Rhinolophus ferrumequinum: one gene and its partner. The protein of the gene in region 1 purifies or fractionates together with the protein of each later gene. This does not show direct contact. Links are inferred from orthologs where the notes say so. Each region holds a gene or a part of one and is shown in the gene's direction. Other genes may lie near its edges.

Evidence for each region.
Region 2: the proteins of BCL10 (region 1) and BIRC3 purify together in Homo sapiens (affinity purification with western blotting; 5 studies listed by BioGRID and IntAct, with this or other methods). This does not show direct contact. The link is inferred for Rhinolophus ferrumequinum from reciprocal best matches to the Homo sapiens genes BCL10 and BIRC3.

Annotation. Positions count from the first base shown.
Region 1 is NC_046292.1:64,039,307-64,046,823, reverse strand, and holds the start of BCL10 (B-cell lymphoma/leukemia 10), read left to right. Parts: upstream 1-4,144; 5' UTR 4,145-4,412; coding exon 4,413-4,469; intron 4,470-7,517. UniProt on the Homo sapiens protein: Plays a key role in both adaptive and innate immune signaling by bridging CARD domain-containing proteins to immune activation.
Region 2 is NC_046294.1:71,854,735-71,862,894, forward strand, and holds the start of BIRC3 (baculoviral IAP repeat-containing protein 3), read left to right. Parts: upstream 1-5,093; 5' UTR 5,094-5,226; intron 5,227-8,160. UniProt on the Homo sapiens protein: Multi-functional protein which regulates not only caspases and apoptosis, but also modulates inflammatory signaling and immunity, mitogenic kinase signaling and cell proliferation, as well as cell invasion and metastasis.

The DNA of each region.
Region 1 (7,517 bases):
AGGCATAGGAAGAAAACAGAAAAGAAGGCCATGTAAAGATGGAGGCAGAGATTGGAGTTACGCTGCCACAGGCAAAGAATGCCACGGATTGCCTGCAACCACTAGAAGCTAGGAGGAGGCAAGGAAAGATGCTTCCCTAGAGCCTTTGGAGGGAGCATGGCCCTGCCTATATTGGAATTCCAGCCCCCAGAACTATGAGAGAATAAATGTTTATTGTTTTAAGCCATCCAGTTTGTGGTAATTTGTTACAGCAGCCCTAGGAAACTATTATACCAGCCTAGGTCGGTCAGATGCCAAACAGCTTCATTCTTAACAACTATGATATGCTACCTTGTGTTTGCAGCACCGAAACTGTTTTCTTCACAGTATATTTATCAGACGCCTCGTATTTCACAGTAAGAGGCAGATGGTGCACCTAGAAGTTGAGGAGGGGATGGAGGTAGAATTATTGCAAGATAGAGACTGGGCAGGACTGCTTTCTTGAAAACGTGCCCAACCTCCCCTACTGTCTGATCCTGTGATTTGGCAGAGAAGGGGAAGTGAGTTTGCTTATGAAGGAAGTGTGGTACACTAGAAAGAAAGCAGGAACTACACCTGCCATGAACTAGCTCTGTGATAGGCATATGACATTCATATATGGCTGCTTTGACACAGACAACTCGACTTGGGAACGTTGAGACATGTCCTCAAAAACAAAATATTAAATTTTCAGCTGTTAAAAATCCCGAAGCTCCTTACTCAGTTCCACCCAACCCCTGATCCTCATTCCATAACTCCCACTTCTGACACATAGCAGACACAACTTTTTAGTTAAATAAATAAATAAGGGAATGAATATCAAGGATGGAAGAACATTGGAGGTGTCACAAATGAAATGATGGTCAACGACAAGGAAAGAGTCAGATGCACAGTAACATCATGAAAGAAGTCTCAAGAATCAGCGATGTCTGCCACTAACATTGGGTAATCAAAAGCCGTAACAGAAGCAAATGTGGCAAAATATCAATATTTGTTAAATCTTAGTAATGAACGCAGGGTGTTTGTAATATTATTCTTTATAGTTTGGTGTGTTTGAATGTTTCACTTAACAAAGAACAGAAAGGGTGGCCGGATGGCTCAGTTGGTTCGAGCGCAAGCTCTTAACAAGGTTGCCAGTTCAGTTCCTACATGGGATGGTGGGCTGCACCTGCTGCAACTAAGATTGAAAACAGCGACTAGACTTGGAGCTGAGCTGCGCCCTCCACAACTAGATTGAAGGACAACGATCCGACTTGGAGCTGATGGGTCCTGGAAAAACACACTGTTCCCCAATATTCCCCAATAAAAAAAAATTTAAAAAATAGAACACCAACATCATAATGGCTAGATCAAAATGGGTGTCTCAAATTGGCATCATTCAAATCACTTTGCTTTGATGTGTACTGAATCCCCTCTTTCATCAACAGAGCTGATATGGTTATGGCAAAACAGTTCATTCCCACACATGGATGAAACAGTACTTTGGAGAGAACCTGTGAAAATATATATGAAATGACAGACAATAATCATTTCCTTGGGCTCTGTGCTCCTTCTCCTGGGAATTTATGCAAAGGAAATGATATTTCAAAAGAAAAAAAGATGGGGAACAGGTAGATTAAAAATCTGGGGACAAATGTTATAACAAGGAAAATTTTGGAATAACTTAGGGTAACCATGGAGTGCTCACCGCTGCTCCCACCCTGGTCACACTACCCTCCATCTTTGCCTGGATCGCTGTAATAGCCTCCAGCCTGTCTCTTTGTTTCCCCCTTACACCTACAGTCCACTCTTTACTCAGCGGTCAGAGTGATTCTTTTAAAAGGAAATGAAATCACTTCCCCACTTCTCAAAATGTTCTCACCACCCTCATAGCTACCAATCGTGGTCTGAGCCACCACGTCCTGAGGCCTGGATTATGACAATAGCTCCTAACTAGTTTCCCCTCTTCCATCCTCCTTAACTCAAGGAGACAGTGAAAATGCTCCCTTTCAAATCATAAATCGGATCAAGTCACTCCTCTGTTCGGAACTCTCCAGTGGCTTCCCATCTGACTCAGAGTAAGCAAGCCCATATGACTCAGAGCAAAGTCAGAGTAAACTTTTACACTGGCACACAAGGATCTCATCTCCTTCCCAGTCACACTGGATCCTTTTTATTGGTTCTTCTCTCTGCTCTTCTGTTCTTTCTCCATGTCCACACGGTTCATTCCCTCCCTTGCTTCAAGTGGTAACTCAAACCTCCCCCAGGGAGGTCTATTATTAACTACCCTATTTTAAATTTTACCACTCCGTAAAGCCTCATCCTACTTCCCTGTTTTATATTTTCTCTTAGTATTTATCATCTTCTGACATCATTTATACAACATTTCTCAAATGTCTATCTGCCCTGCCTGAAACACACATACGAGTACGCTAGAATTTAAACTCCAGGAGGAAAGGGAAATTCATCTGCGCTGCTCGCAGCTGTTTCCTCATTACCTAGAACAGTCTGGCACTTAGTTAACATTCAATAAATATTTGTGAAATGAAAGAACAAATGGTTAAGTAAATTGGGCAATACCACGATGGTGGAATATTAAGCAATCAGAAAAAGTATTGTGTATCAATGTGGAAAAAGACATATGACACAATGTTAACGTTAAATGCAGAATCCCTGTGTTGTGATCAAAACTACATTGGTGTGGCTTTGGCAACATTTTTTTTCTGGTTCTTTCCCTTTCTTTTCCCCTTAAATGTTCAGGTCCCCCAGTTTGTTTTTGGTTCTCTTGTCATTTTTATCTACCCTTATAGCTTCTGTGGGGACAGAGCCAGGAGTGCAGTTTCCAGGCTCTCGCCCTCACGTGGAAAGGTGCTCACTCGGGTAGTAAATGGCCATCAACTGTGATTGGATGGCCATCAGCTGTGGCTGGTTGGCTGTCAGCAGTGAGCCATTGGCCGCTAATATAACTGCCGTGGCTATGCTAGCAGCAAATGGGGGCTGGCAAGAAGATGGTGGCTGAGCTAGCAAGAGCAGATTGCAGTTAGCACTGCAGATTGCAGCTAGCTGGGGTTGGTTGGTTGGCAGACAGAGATGTGGATGGCAGGTTGCGGAGAGCGTGGCTCTTGCTTCCTGTGTCTCCAAACCAGCCGCCAGCGAGACTATAGTGGTATGAATCCCCTATGTATGGCTCTGTGGGTGTTCCTTTTTGGCCTCACCATGTCCTGCGTTCTTATATGAGGAGTGGGGCCAGAGACCCCACATCAGTCTCTGCATGACAGCTTCAAATACCATCTAGTTTATTTTTAGTTTATTTAGCATATTGTCCACCCTAAGGTTGGGCCCAGGGTTCTGTATTGAGCTTCTCACCGACTTACTCATGTTTCTCTGTATACACCTCTATTAGAATACCATCTGGGAATGGCTGTCTGTTCATCAGTCTCCCCAGTAAAATGGGAGAACTCTTATAGGATAAGATGCCTAGAACATATTAGTAAGGACTCAATAAATGTTTGAATAATACATAATAAATAATAAATTGAGTGCTTACCGTGTGCCAAGTACCTCTAAGAACTTTACATTTATATTTAATTCTCACAGCAGCCCTATTGAGGTAGATCTAGCTTCATTACACAGAATAAATATGGAAATATGTGTATAATAAACAGTATGCATACAATAAATTACATGTTAAAGTGGTGGGATTGTAGGTGGTTCTGCTCTTTCAAAAATTTCTTTAGTATTGTAGTTAGGTTGTGAGTGTATGCGCCTGCGCGCGTGCCTGCGCCTGATCAAATAATTTAAAAACTTGAGTGGGCAAATACAGCAACAGGAAATTGTAGAGCAAGGTCTGGGAAAAGGGGAGGAACCCAAAGGCACAGATCAGCCGAGACCAGACTCCACCAGTGAGCAGTCGGCAAAGGCGGGGAGGGTCCGCCCGCACAGCAGCAACCGGTTCCACCCACGGAAACCTTGCCTTTCCGGGAGGCCAAACCGATGTCACATGCAAAAGACCTGGAGGATGTGGGCGAAGCCACTCCTTAAAGGCTCGGGCCGGGAGGGCGGAGACAGGTTGGCCCGCGGGCTGGCACCGATTGGCTGCCGCAGGGACGGGGCGGGCTCTGCCGAGGGCCCTGCCGCACCTGCGCTGGAGCCTGTAGGAGAGGGAAGGAACGCGGGGCCGCGGGCCGCGTCTTTATGCCGTGGGTCTGCTGTTGTGTCGGCTCCACAGGCAGCGCCGGAAGCGCCACAGTGTGACTTCCGAGACCCTCCTGTTTTCCAAGGGGCAGCCCTCTTCCTCCTGAACCGCTCCGCCTCCGCTTCTTGTCCCTCATCCCGAGGCCGAAGCCTCCAGTTTAGGTGGAGCGGCGCAACCCGAGCTCCCGGACCCGGAAGAAGCGCCATCTCCCGCCTCCGCCATGGAGCCCGTCGCGCCGTCCCTCACAGAAGAGGACCTGACTGAAGTGAAGAAGGACGTGAGTAGCACAGCCTTACCCAGGCGCCCCGCGGGCTGGGGGCGGGCGGGGGCGGGCTGCAGCCCCGCGGGCGAGGAAAGCGGAAACCCGGAGTGCGAGTGGGAGGAGGAGCCTGTGGGTCGAGGAGGGAACCGGTGGGCAGTGGGCCCTGCCTTCGAGGGACCTTGGTGGAAGTGATCCTTCGGCGACATGTCAGTCCAAGTTTTGAATCGCCAAAAGCAGGGCGTGGGTTTCTGAAGCCGCCTTCAGTGGAGCGTTACTTCACTGTCTGCTTCTTGCCCACCCCTCACCTGTTCCCTGGTGGGTTTACCCCCCTGCGCTTTGGTGCCGCGTTCGTTGTTAGAGATCAGCGAGCGGCTCAGGTTCATCTTTGAGTCAGACTGTCCAGGCTGCTGGCTCGACCTGGAGGCTGGACCCGATGAAGGATCCCAAGCAGTGGAGCCAATATGTGAAACACTTTTGCAAAAGGGGTTGAGGAAGCTCAACAGCTGAAAGCACGATCTGGAATTCCCCTAGTAAGCGAACGCCCACATATTTAAATTGAGGGGAGGGGGATGAATACGTGTAGCCGAGAATTAATTTACAAGCAAACACCGAAAATATCCAATAGCTGAATTTTGCTCTTTTGCTTGGATGCTGCAGAAAATCTTAATATATATTCTTAAAGAATGACTTTGTTGAGGTATGACTTGTTTCTCCTTTTCCTTTGCTTTCAGTTGTTTTGCAGTATAAGACCTGTACGAATGCCACTAAAATATATTAATTCAAGTTAAAAACAAACAACATGAAGTGTGCTGTGGTTTAACACTACAAAACTCACAATTTCATCTTTGTGAATGTTCATCTACTTCAGATCCCTTCCTTTTCTCTCCCCTGTAAGGTTTATTACGCTGTACTCATAATTACAGTTAGTATGACTCAATAACAGTATGCCTTAGTTTCCTCATTCAGCAGATATTTATGGAACACTTACTGTAAGGAAAGTACTGTCCTTGAGCCTGGAAAGATACAAAAAATGAGGATCTGCTTTACATTTAGTTGATATAAGACTGGGACATTGATAACTAATATAGAATAAATGAGTGTTGTCTTACTCAAGATTTGTGCCAGTAAAACCATGAACTTCAAAACTAGGCTTGCTTTGTTCCAGATGCTGTGTCACACTACTTACAATGTTCCCATTTAATCTTTTTTTTTTTAAATTAAAGTTTGTTGGGGTGATAATTGTTAGTAAAGTTACATAGATTTCAGGTGTACAATTCTGTAATACATCATCTATATCTCACATTGTGTGTTCACCACCCAGAGTCAGTTCTCTTTCCATCACCATATATTAGATCCCATTTACCCTCTTCTAGAGGCCCCCTCCCTCCTTACCCTCTGGTAACCCCTAAACTATTTATTGTCTGTGTCTATGAGTTTTTAGTCCTTCTTTTTTTTGTCGTGTTCTTTTGTTGTTTTCAGTTTTATATACCACGTATCAGTGAAATCGTATGGTTCTCTACTATTTCTGTCTGACTTATTTCACTTAGCCTTATAATTTTAAGTTCCATCCATGTTGTCACAAATGGTCCTATTTCATCTTTTCTTACCGCCGAATAATATTCCATTGTGTATATATACCACAACTTCTTTATCCATTCATCTATCAAAGGACATTTTGGTTGTTTGTCTTGGCCACCGTAAATAAACGGTGAACATTGGAGCGCACATGTCTTTATGGATAAATGTTTTCAGATTTTTTTGGGTAGATACACAGGAGAGGGATTCCTGGGTCATATGGTAATTGTATTCTTAAATTTTTGAGGAATCTCCACACTGCCTTCCATAGTGGTTGCACCAACCCATTTAATCTTTACAACAATGTCTAAGGGAGATAATTGTCATTCCTATTTTACAGCGGATAAAACAGGCAGTGAGAGGTTACAAGTGGGAGGATGTAAAACTTGTATGCCAACGCAGATGTGAAGAGTGGCTTCCAGGTGTTTATTTTTTTCTATCAGTTCGTTGATATTCATCTCCATGATTTCATTTTACAGCTATATCAGAAATTCATAACCTTGGGGAGTCATGGATGGGTTTCAGGAGGTCTATGAAAAAAAGTATGTGCACATATTTTTCTTAGAAATTTTTTTCATGATATTTTCAAAATGGTTTATGACCTTAGACCCGGGGTGTCCAAACTTTTTTCAACGTTTTTCACCAAGGGCCATATGCGGTAAAATACACAAGCAGCCGGGCCACTCACTCGAGGTGAAGTACGTATTGCCTCACCTGGTTTATTTAAGTAAACTAAATATATTTTTGGAATTTGCTGCGGGCCAGTTAACAATGGATCATGGGCCGCAGTTAGCCAGCGGGCCGCAGTCTGGACACCCCTGCTTTAGATAGTTATCAGCCACATATTTGAACTTTCTTCTCTCTGAACTATAGGCACTTATTTCCAGGTATCTACTGGAAATCCACTTTATGTCATGCAGATTCCTCACCTTGTCTAAAATTGAACTTTTTATTTTCCCTCCCCCAAAGCTGCTTGCTGTTCCTACTATAGTCTCTGTCTTGATGAATAGTATACCATCACCCGTCCTCCTGGAAACTCCTACTTCTTCACTATACTCCTTTTCCATCCTGCCCCATCTAGCTTTTTACCTCATGTTTTGGGTGGAATTTAGTTCAGTTGAATTAAATACGGGTTACATGCTGCTGTGAGGCTGATACTGTAGTTGCATCTAACAGTTTAAAAATTTAAAACTAAGATACAATCCTAGTTTGAAAAGAGCTTGATTTCTTGGGAGGAGAGAGATAGACTTAAAATGATAATTAACAAATAACAAAATAAGTGCAATGAATTTTACATTCATCCAAAACACTGTCTATTTAGCATTCTACTAAGTGCAGGGTATACAGAGTAGAACAAAACATACCTGGTGTTTGCCTGCTTCAAACATATAGGTCATTAGGGTTGAAAACAAATACATAGGCAATTACAAATGATGGTAAGTACTATGAAGGAGACAGACAGATGTTGAGATGATAACAGGGGGCATG
Region 2 (8,160 bases), on another chromosome or scaffold:
CTTCTCAAATTGACCTGTAGATTGAACATAATGCTAATCAAATTCCCAGGAAACTTATAAAAGATATTCACGAGACAATTCTAAAAGCCGTATGAAAATTTAAAGTTCTTAGAACAGCCAAGAGAATTTTGAAGAAAAACAAAGTTAGAAGACTTGTGCTGATATCAATGCTTACTATAAAGATACAGTGATCAATATAGTATAATATTGGCATAATGATAGACAAATAGATTCATAAAACAGAATAGAGTCCAGAAAGAAACTTTCACATGTAAATTCAATTGATTTTTGACAAAGACACTAAAGCAATTCAATGGGGAATGGGTTCTTTTCAATAAACTGTGTTGGAACAATGGAGGAAAAAAATGAACCGTGGCCCTCATCTCACATCATATGCAAAAATTAATTTGACATAAACCACAGTTTTAAGTGTTAAAGCTAATATTACAAAGTTCTAAAAGAAAATATAGAAGATAATCTTCTGATCTTGGGGTAGATACAGGTTTTTTAAACAGGATATGAAATGCACTATACATAAAAGCAAAAAATTGTTAAATTAGACTTATTGAGAATTAAAATATTCTAACCATTAAAAGAAACCATTAATAAAGGCAAGCCATCAACTTGGAGGAAATAGTCACAATGTACATATCAAAGGACTCATATCCAGAATATATAAAGAACTTCCGTAAATCAATAATAAAAGGTCAATTCAGTTTAAAAATGGACAGAAGATTTGAACAGGCACTTCACAAAAGATGATATATAAATCATCAAAAAGCATATGAAAATGTATTAAACATCATTAATCACTAGGGAAATAAAAATTGAAAGCATAATGAAATAATACTACATGCTCAAAATAAGAGTTGAAATTTAAAAAGTTGACAATATCAAATCTTAGGAAGAATATTCAGAAACTAGAATTCTTATATATTGCTGGTGGGAGTGTAAAATGGTGCAGACATTTTGTAAAAGTTTTTGGCAGTTTCTAATAATAATAAACATACACCTGTCCAATGGCAATAATATGCAACAGAAATAGATCCACAAAAAGACTTGAACTGAAATGTTCATATCTTCACACTTCATAAGGAATCAAACCAGGTAACCCAAACGTCCATCAGGAGGAGAATGGATAACAAACTATGTATATTCACCCAGTGAAATACTACTTGGCAACACAAAGAACAAACTATTGCTACACACTACAATATGGGTGAAACTAAAAACATGAGTGAAATAAACCTTTATGAGTACACACCGTATGCTGCCATTTACACTAAGTTCAAGAACAGACAAATAAAATCTATGGTGATAAAAATCAGAACAGTGGTTGAGACGGGGATGGAGGAGTTGATAGGTATTGACTGGAAAAAGGCATGAAGGAATTTTCTGGGGTAATGGAGAATGTTCTTCATCTTGATCTGGTTGATGGTCACCCAAGTATATGGATTTTTCAAAATTCATGAGCTGTACACTTAAGATGTGTGCACTTTAACTATGTAAATTATGTGTCATTAAAGTATTGTCAGGACAAAGAAATTAAAAGTAAGCCATCATTTATAAGGGCAAACTTCATTCCATTGAGAACAGTCTGTCTATATTAAAAGATATTTATTTGTAAATTATTTCATTAGCACTTGTTCAGGATGATCTAACTATTTTATTTGCAAGATATAAAGTTGTCAAGAGACTAGGAAATTTCCAGCATTTACAATGACTCTCTTACTTACTTTGGAATCAGACTGTACGTTTCCTTTGTTAGATTTCACTTTTACTTTCAATTCTAGATTCTGGGTAGAATCTTTATGTATTTCTTTAATGAAAAATGTTAAAAACTTATAGTGCAATAGTATTAGGCTGGAACTGAAGTTGTTACAGGATTATTATTATTATTATGTGAAATTCCTTCCAAAGAAAGAATTTTTTACCATAATTACCCTCAAGGAAAAAAACACTTTAAAGTTGATTATGTAATAACACAATATTGAGAACATACCACTGTTAAGAGTTATCAAAGTCCCAAACCAGGAATGAGGTGAAATGCCTTCTCAACACATACACATTGACAGTAGAAAAAAACCGGAGAACTAGAGATACTAATAGCCCTATGTGTCTACCTTGTCACTTTCCTCAAACATTTCCTTTCTTATTTCTGTCTCTAAAAGAGTATTTGGAGAGAAAATATATTTAGGTAAGTTGGATGCTGGAAGGAAAAGGGGAGTTTTTATATAACATATTTGGAATATTCATAAGATTAGAAGGAAAATGTAAAGTGTGTTACACTATTAAAAATCTGGGTACAGTTTTGGAATAGAGTAGGCCCAAGTGGATAGATTGACTCCATTTTTGTGAGTCAACAAAGATTTATTGAGCACCTACTATTTGCTGGTGCCCTGCTAGTACTAGAATAATGAGGTGAATAAAATATATACAGTCCTTGCGCCTAGGAACTTAGAATTGTTACAGGAAAACAATTCCTTTGTTGTTGTTTTTTTAAGAGTCTCATGCGCTACCGACTGAGCTAGCCGGGCGCCGCTATGTTGTTGTTTTTTTAAATCAACGATAAAAGTTGTGTAAAATGTTGCAAAAGAGACATAACAATCCACTCCAAGCCCAGACAAGTCTGATCCCAACAATCATCATTTGGAAGAACTTGGGAATCCTCGTCAGTGCAGGATTTCTTAGCCCACGGTTTTTAAATTGGTATAAGTGTTCTCTTTGGTAAACACCAAGTCTTTACAAAGATGTAAAAATGTGTAAGTGGGAACCCAAACAGTTTTAAGGGAATTAACAACCTGATGTTATATTTCCACATGTAGTTTTTCCTAAAACTGATCTGCCTGAAACCAAGAGCTGTTCCAGTTGCCAGGTCTCTTTTTTCTTCTCACCAACCTTTTCACAATGGTTCTCTCTTCTTAGGAAATACAGGCTCACCTGTTATCCATCTTGGGTTTTAAAATGATGTATTGCCCTTAGGCGTAAAATCTTCCTGGACAATTAGAAATATTCATTGTTTAGTGTTGAGAAAATGAATGGTTCTGATATCTGGCTATAGAGTTGCCAGATAAAATATAGGACACCCAGTTAAATTTGACTTTCAGATAATCAATGAATAATGTATTGCATGGGACATACTCATTTGTTATGTATCTCAAATTTAAATTTAACTAGGTGCCCTGTATTTTAATTTGCTAACTCTGGCAACCCTACCTAGGGAACAAACATTTTGTGGTTTCCAAATCACCGATTTAAACAAAATCGAGTTGTCTACTGATAACTAATTAACTTTTTGCATTAAACATCACTAAATGACTTTTGGGCTATAAAACAAATGTTCAAAAAATTGTGAAAAGTTGATATAATAACATTTCTTCTGGGCGTGGCCTATCTACTTATTTATTAATATGTAGATTTTTCAACACTTACAATCTTTAGAAATGAAAAAAAAGGAACAGAATCTATGCTGAACCCTATCATATTCTAGCAATAGGTAATATTCATGAACATACTTGAAAAATTGTTCAAATATATACTGCAACCCCATTAAGATTGCATTTGTAATAGAATTTAACTTTTTATCTTTAGTAATTATCAACATTTATAACATATTTATATTATTTTGACCAGTTGTGTATTAAGCACTGTGATGCAATCCGGAGTAATTTTTCTTTAACACTTAGAGGGTTATGATCACAGGAAAAAAAATTGAATTTCAATTTATACATACATTGTTTCAGAAATATGTGCCCAAGTGATCATAAAGATGTCCATTATGAACATATATTAAAATTCGGTGGGGGAAGTAGAATGTTCAAAAAGGACAAAAGGCAGTGACATACTATTTCCAGTTATTACAGATGAGCTAATGTGTTAATTGTTGAACAGATAACAGTGGCTATCAAATGGCTATGATATTTGAATACATTTAAAAGAGTCCTGGATCAGTTTTATTCTAAAATATCTGTGTCTACATTTTGTAGTTCCTTTCCAATTACTACAACTTTTATGTTTTAATGTCAAGTTAAAAATGCTCAGAGGAATAGTTTTTCAAAATTTTTTTGGTGGGTACATGATCAAAAGTGTATAAAGACCACAAAATGTTTTTGATCATCCAAAGGTGAGTTGAAAATGGCTTACACAGTTTTGAACTAAGCAGGTTCAAACGATGATTGAAGCCTCTCCATGATAGACGAACTTAATCTTTTTGATATAATTCCGACTGGGACTCTAACTGGAACTCATCCTGGTTATACTGAATGGAATGGGCACATCTTCTTGTTTCCACAGGATAATGATGAATTAATGAATAATATTATAGATTCTGCCTTTGGTTCCCAATTATCTTTGATCTACTGCAAGACAGGAAAATCAGGTGAGCTCTCTTCGTCCATCTGCTTCCTGGCAAGCACTGACGTTAGAGAAAGTTGCTTAAATGTACTGCTTAGACAAGGAATGTGGAGGAAATATGGCAGTGCAGTTAGACTCAAACTTCAAGTTTCCATGAGAATATCACAGTAACTTAGATGTCTCCTCTGTGAGACAAAAAGCAGAATTTTTTTTATAGCCAATTCTACCCTCGTTAGAAAAACAACCAACCAACCAACCAACAAAACCATTTCAATATAGGAAACTAACGAGGTGATCTCAATCTTTAACACAGTAAAACTGAACTGAAAAGGAGAGTCATGTGATTTTTTTTTACATGCTTCTGCATTTCCATTCATGCCTTAACTTTCTTGATTAGAACATAAAGTAAAAATTATCAGAAAGATTTCACAAAGTTTATTTTTTCTCTTCTTTTCAAAATATGTATATTAGGAAATGGGCCTTTTCCAGTCAGGCTGACCAATGATCAGCTACTCAACACAGGTTATCAATATTTCCTCTGACCCACGAACAAAGAAGTAAAGATCTTTCAGTAAATGCCACGGATACGCCACGGTTAAGAAATAGTCATGCTTTTACGGTCATGGAAATCCCCCAGTGGTTTTGCCAGACCACTGATTAAGAAGGGGAAGTGTATGTGGTTATTGCCGCTGGATTTCCCCTAAGTCCTAAGAGGAAAGCACCAACCACTAGGAGTGCAGGACACCGGGTGTGTCGGGTGTGTGTAGGTGGGGGTGGGGAGGGCGCAGTGGGACATTTAACAGCAGCGTGAGACTCTAACCCGCGCGGAACTGCCGGGGCGACAGGTGTCAGCCGAGAAGACTCGGCAGGCAGGTAGGTCTTGCTAGCGCACCTCGGCCTCCGGGCAGCAGGTGGGGTGACCAGGGCCGCTGCGAGGCTGTGTGATTGTCAATCCCCCCAAACCCACCCCCTCCGATAGGAGACGTTTCTGCTGCTCCGCCAGAGGAGCGCGGGGCCAGCAGCGGAGTCAGAGTGTCAGCGGGGAGACGCGGTCATCAAACCAGGGCTCAGAGGTCGGCTACAGGTCGGCTCTCCAGCAGATCAGGAACAAGGCAAAGAGTGTGTCCTCCGCGAGCCTGGGCGTCTTTCTTTTCCCCGGCGCACGGGGCGCTCTTTTGACAGGTGGCGTTGGGGAGCGCCACTGCCCCAGAGCCTTTGCTGTCAACCCAGGGGGAGGTGCTGGGCGCGGGGCCGCGGGGTTCAGGGGGGCGCGAGGGTGCTGGCCGGCCCCGCGCTGCCTTCGCGGGCACTCACTTTTGGTCCGCTTTCCTGCCGGGTGCTCAGTTTCTGTTTTACTTTTGGGGACAGCCAGTGGACTGGGGAAGCTTTGATATTTGGTTTAATTCGCTTGCCAAGCGCAATCACCTGGTCTTTGTGCCAAATAAGCTTCAGAACAGAGCCTAAAGCAGAATGTTGCCACAGTAAGGACTCAGTAAAACATTTATTTAATGAATAAATGGAGGAATGTTTCCAAATGGTGGCAGAAAGCAGATTTTTTTGGTTGTTTTCCTGGTGATTAGCATGGAAATCTGGTAGTGCTCTAAATTTAGTTAGTAAAGAGCCGGAGGCATTTACCTGACGCTAAAGTAACTAACCATAATGCTAACTTACTTTGCTATTATTTATTGCAAACATTAGGTGTTGCTAATTCCTATTATATGCTAGGACCCCTCCGAAGACTTCACAGGTATTTTTCAGATTTAATTCTTACAATCTGAAGAAGCAGTTACCATAATTACCAGTAGCTCCACTGACAATGAGGAAACTCTGGCTCAGGGAGGCCTACTTGCCCAAGATCACAGGCCTGGTAGGGGACACTGAATGGTATTGGAAACCCAAGTTGTCTGACTCCAAAGCATGGTATTAAGCCATCACTGTGCAGACTTTGTGGCCATTAATATAAAATTGATGTCCTTAATACCATGCACGTGGTCATGGGGGCTCAGTTAAGTTTGCTAACATTCACTTCTTCAACAGAAAGTCTTTGTTACTACGTTATATGCCAGGCTGGTTGGATATTGGGGTCGGGAGGGTACAGAGCTGAAACATAGTTCTGATCTGAAAAAGCAAACAGTCTGGGGGAAGGCAGAAAGAAAAGCAAATTTATGCTCCAGTGTGAGAGACGTGGATATGCCAAGTGTGAGAGACATGGATATGCCAAGTGCCCAAGAGCGTAGTTGGGCTCAGGGAGGTTGCCCCCTGGAAATGTTATAGTAAGAAGAGGTTGGGGACTTGAGCCAATCTGAGAAGGAACCACTAGAAAGGTAAGAGGACTTCCAAGACAGTGGTATCAGAGAAGCCAAGGGAGTAGAGCATTTCTAAGAGGAAGTGGGCCCCAGTGTCAGACACAAAAATTTCCATTGGTTTTGGCAAAGAAGCTATTGGTGCTATTAATATTGAGATTAGTTTTAAGTGGCTCAGGCTAAAGCCAATTGTCGTGGGTGGGAGACCTTAACCATAGACACTTGTTCAGTTCACTTGGCTGTGAAGAGACGATGAGATACAGGATGGTTGCTAGTGGAAAGTGTGGTTGAAAGAGGTTGTTTTGATCTGTTTACATTTGAAAGCTGGGACAGACTTAAGCATGCTTGTTATATTGAAGGAAAAGAGCCAGTAGAGAGTGAGAGTTGAATAAATGAGGGGGATGGGGGTGAGAGCAAGATTTCTGAAGCAGTAGGCGAGGATGGGACCTGTACAGGGGCAAGCGTTGTTCTCAGAGGTAGCAAATAGCTTGTGAGTGAAAAAGGCATGGATTTGAGGATGTGAAAGAATTACTGCTCAATGATGTTTCTTTTTTTGAGAAACAGACGGCAAAGCCATTTACCGAAAATGAGATGGGGAGTAGTGGAGGAGAAATTTGAGGAAGGTATTGAATGTTTAGAAGAGCTGCATAGGGCAGTGGGCTGAGGAGCTGCATAGGGCTGAGTAGAATAGTTAGGGATGGTGAAGGGCCAGCCCAGGTGGCCTCTGAAGTCATGCTGGTCCCAGTCTGCAAGACTGCAGATCTTCCCCAACAACATTTTGAAGTCTAGGTGTTGGAAATGGTTAAGACAGAGTTTGAATGATCCAGGGTTGACATCTTGGCATATTTTTGTATATTTATTATATAACTGTTGTCTAAATTTCTACAAACATGTGCCTTGTTTTTACAGCAAATCTTCTTTAGGGTAAAATCTGTGTAAGGGGTTAGCAATCTCAAAGGCATAGGGGCCAGGCATGTGATATAAATTAAAAAAATAGGGGTAAGTTGTAATCAAAAACATACTTTGTTCACATATGTAACATGTAGGAATATTCTTCCTTTCCACAAAGAAATATGGTACTCTCATTTTTCTCTACACATGTGTCCCTCTTTGTCTACCTTCCATTTTTGTTACTTTTGATAGACACAGGTATTAGGACAATTTCACTTTCCTCATAATTCTACTGCAAAAAAGGCAATAGTGCTAGCTCAGTGACAAGTAGCAACTGATAGTCTTTGTATCAGGGAGTGAAAGTACGGTGCCAAACTGGGGAGCATGTGCCCTCTGTAAAGGGTACAGTTGCTGCTGGGAGCTGGCTGATTATTGCCATACAGGAATACAGGCCCCGTGTGGCCAGATCTGGTTTTTCAAGAGAAGCTTGGAATCTAGAATGTTATGGGAAATCTCTTACTTTTTAAAAATGTTGGTAATTAATTAAAACATTTAACAATACTGTGGTCCACAAATAAACTTATTTGGAAAACTGGTGAAATTAAAGTAAGGA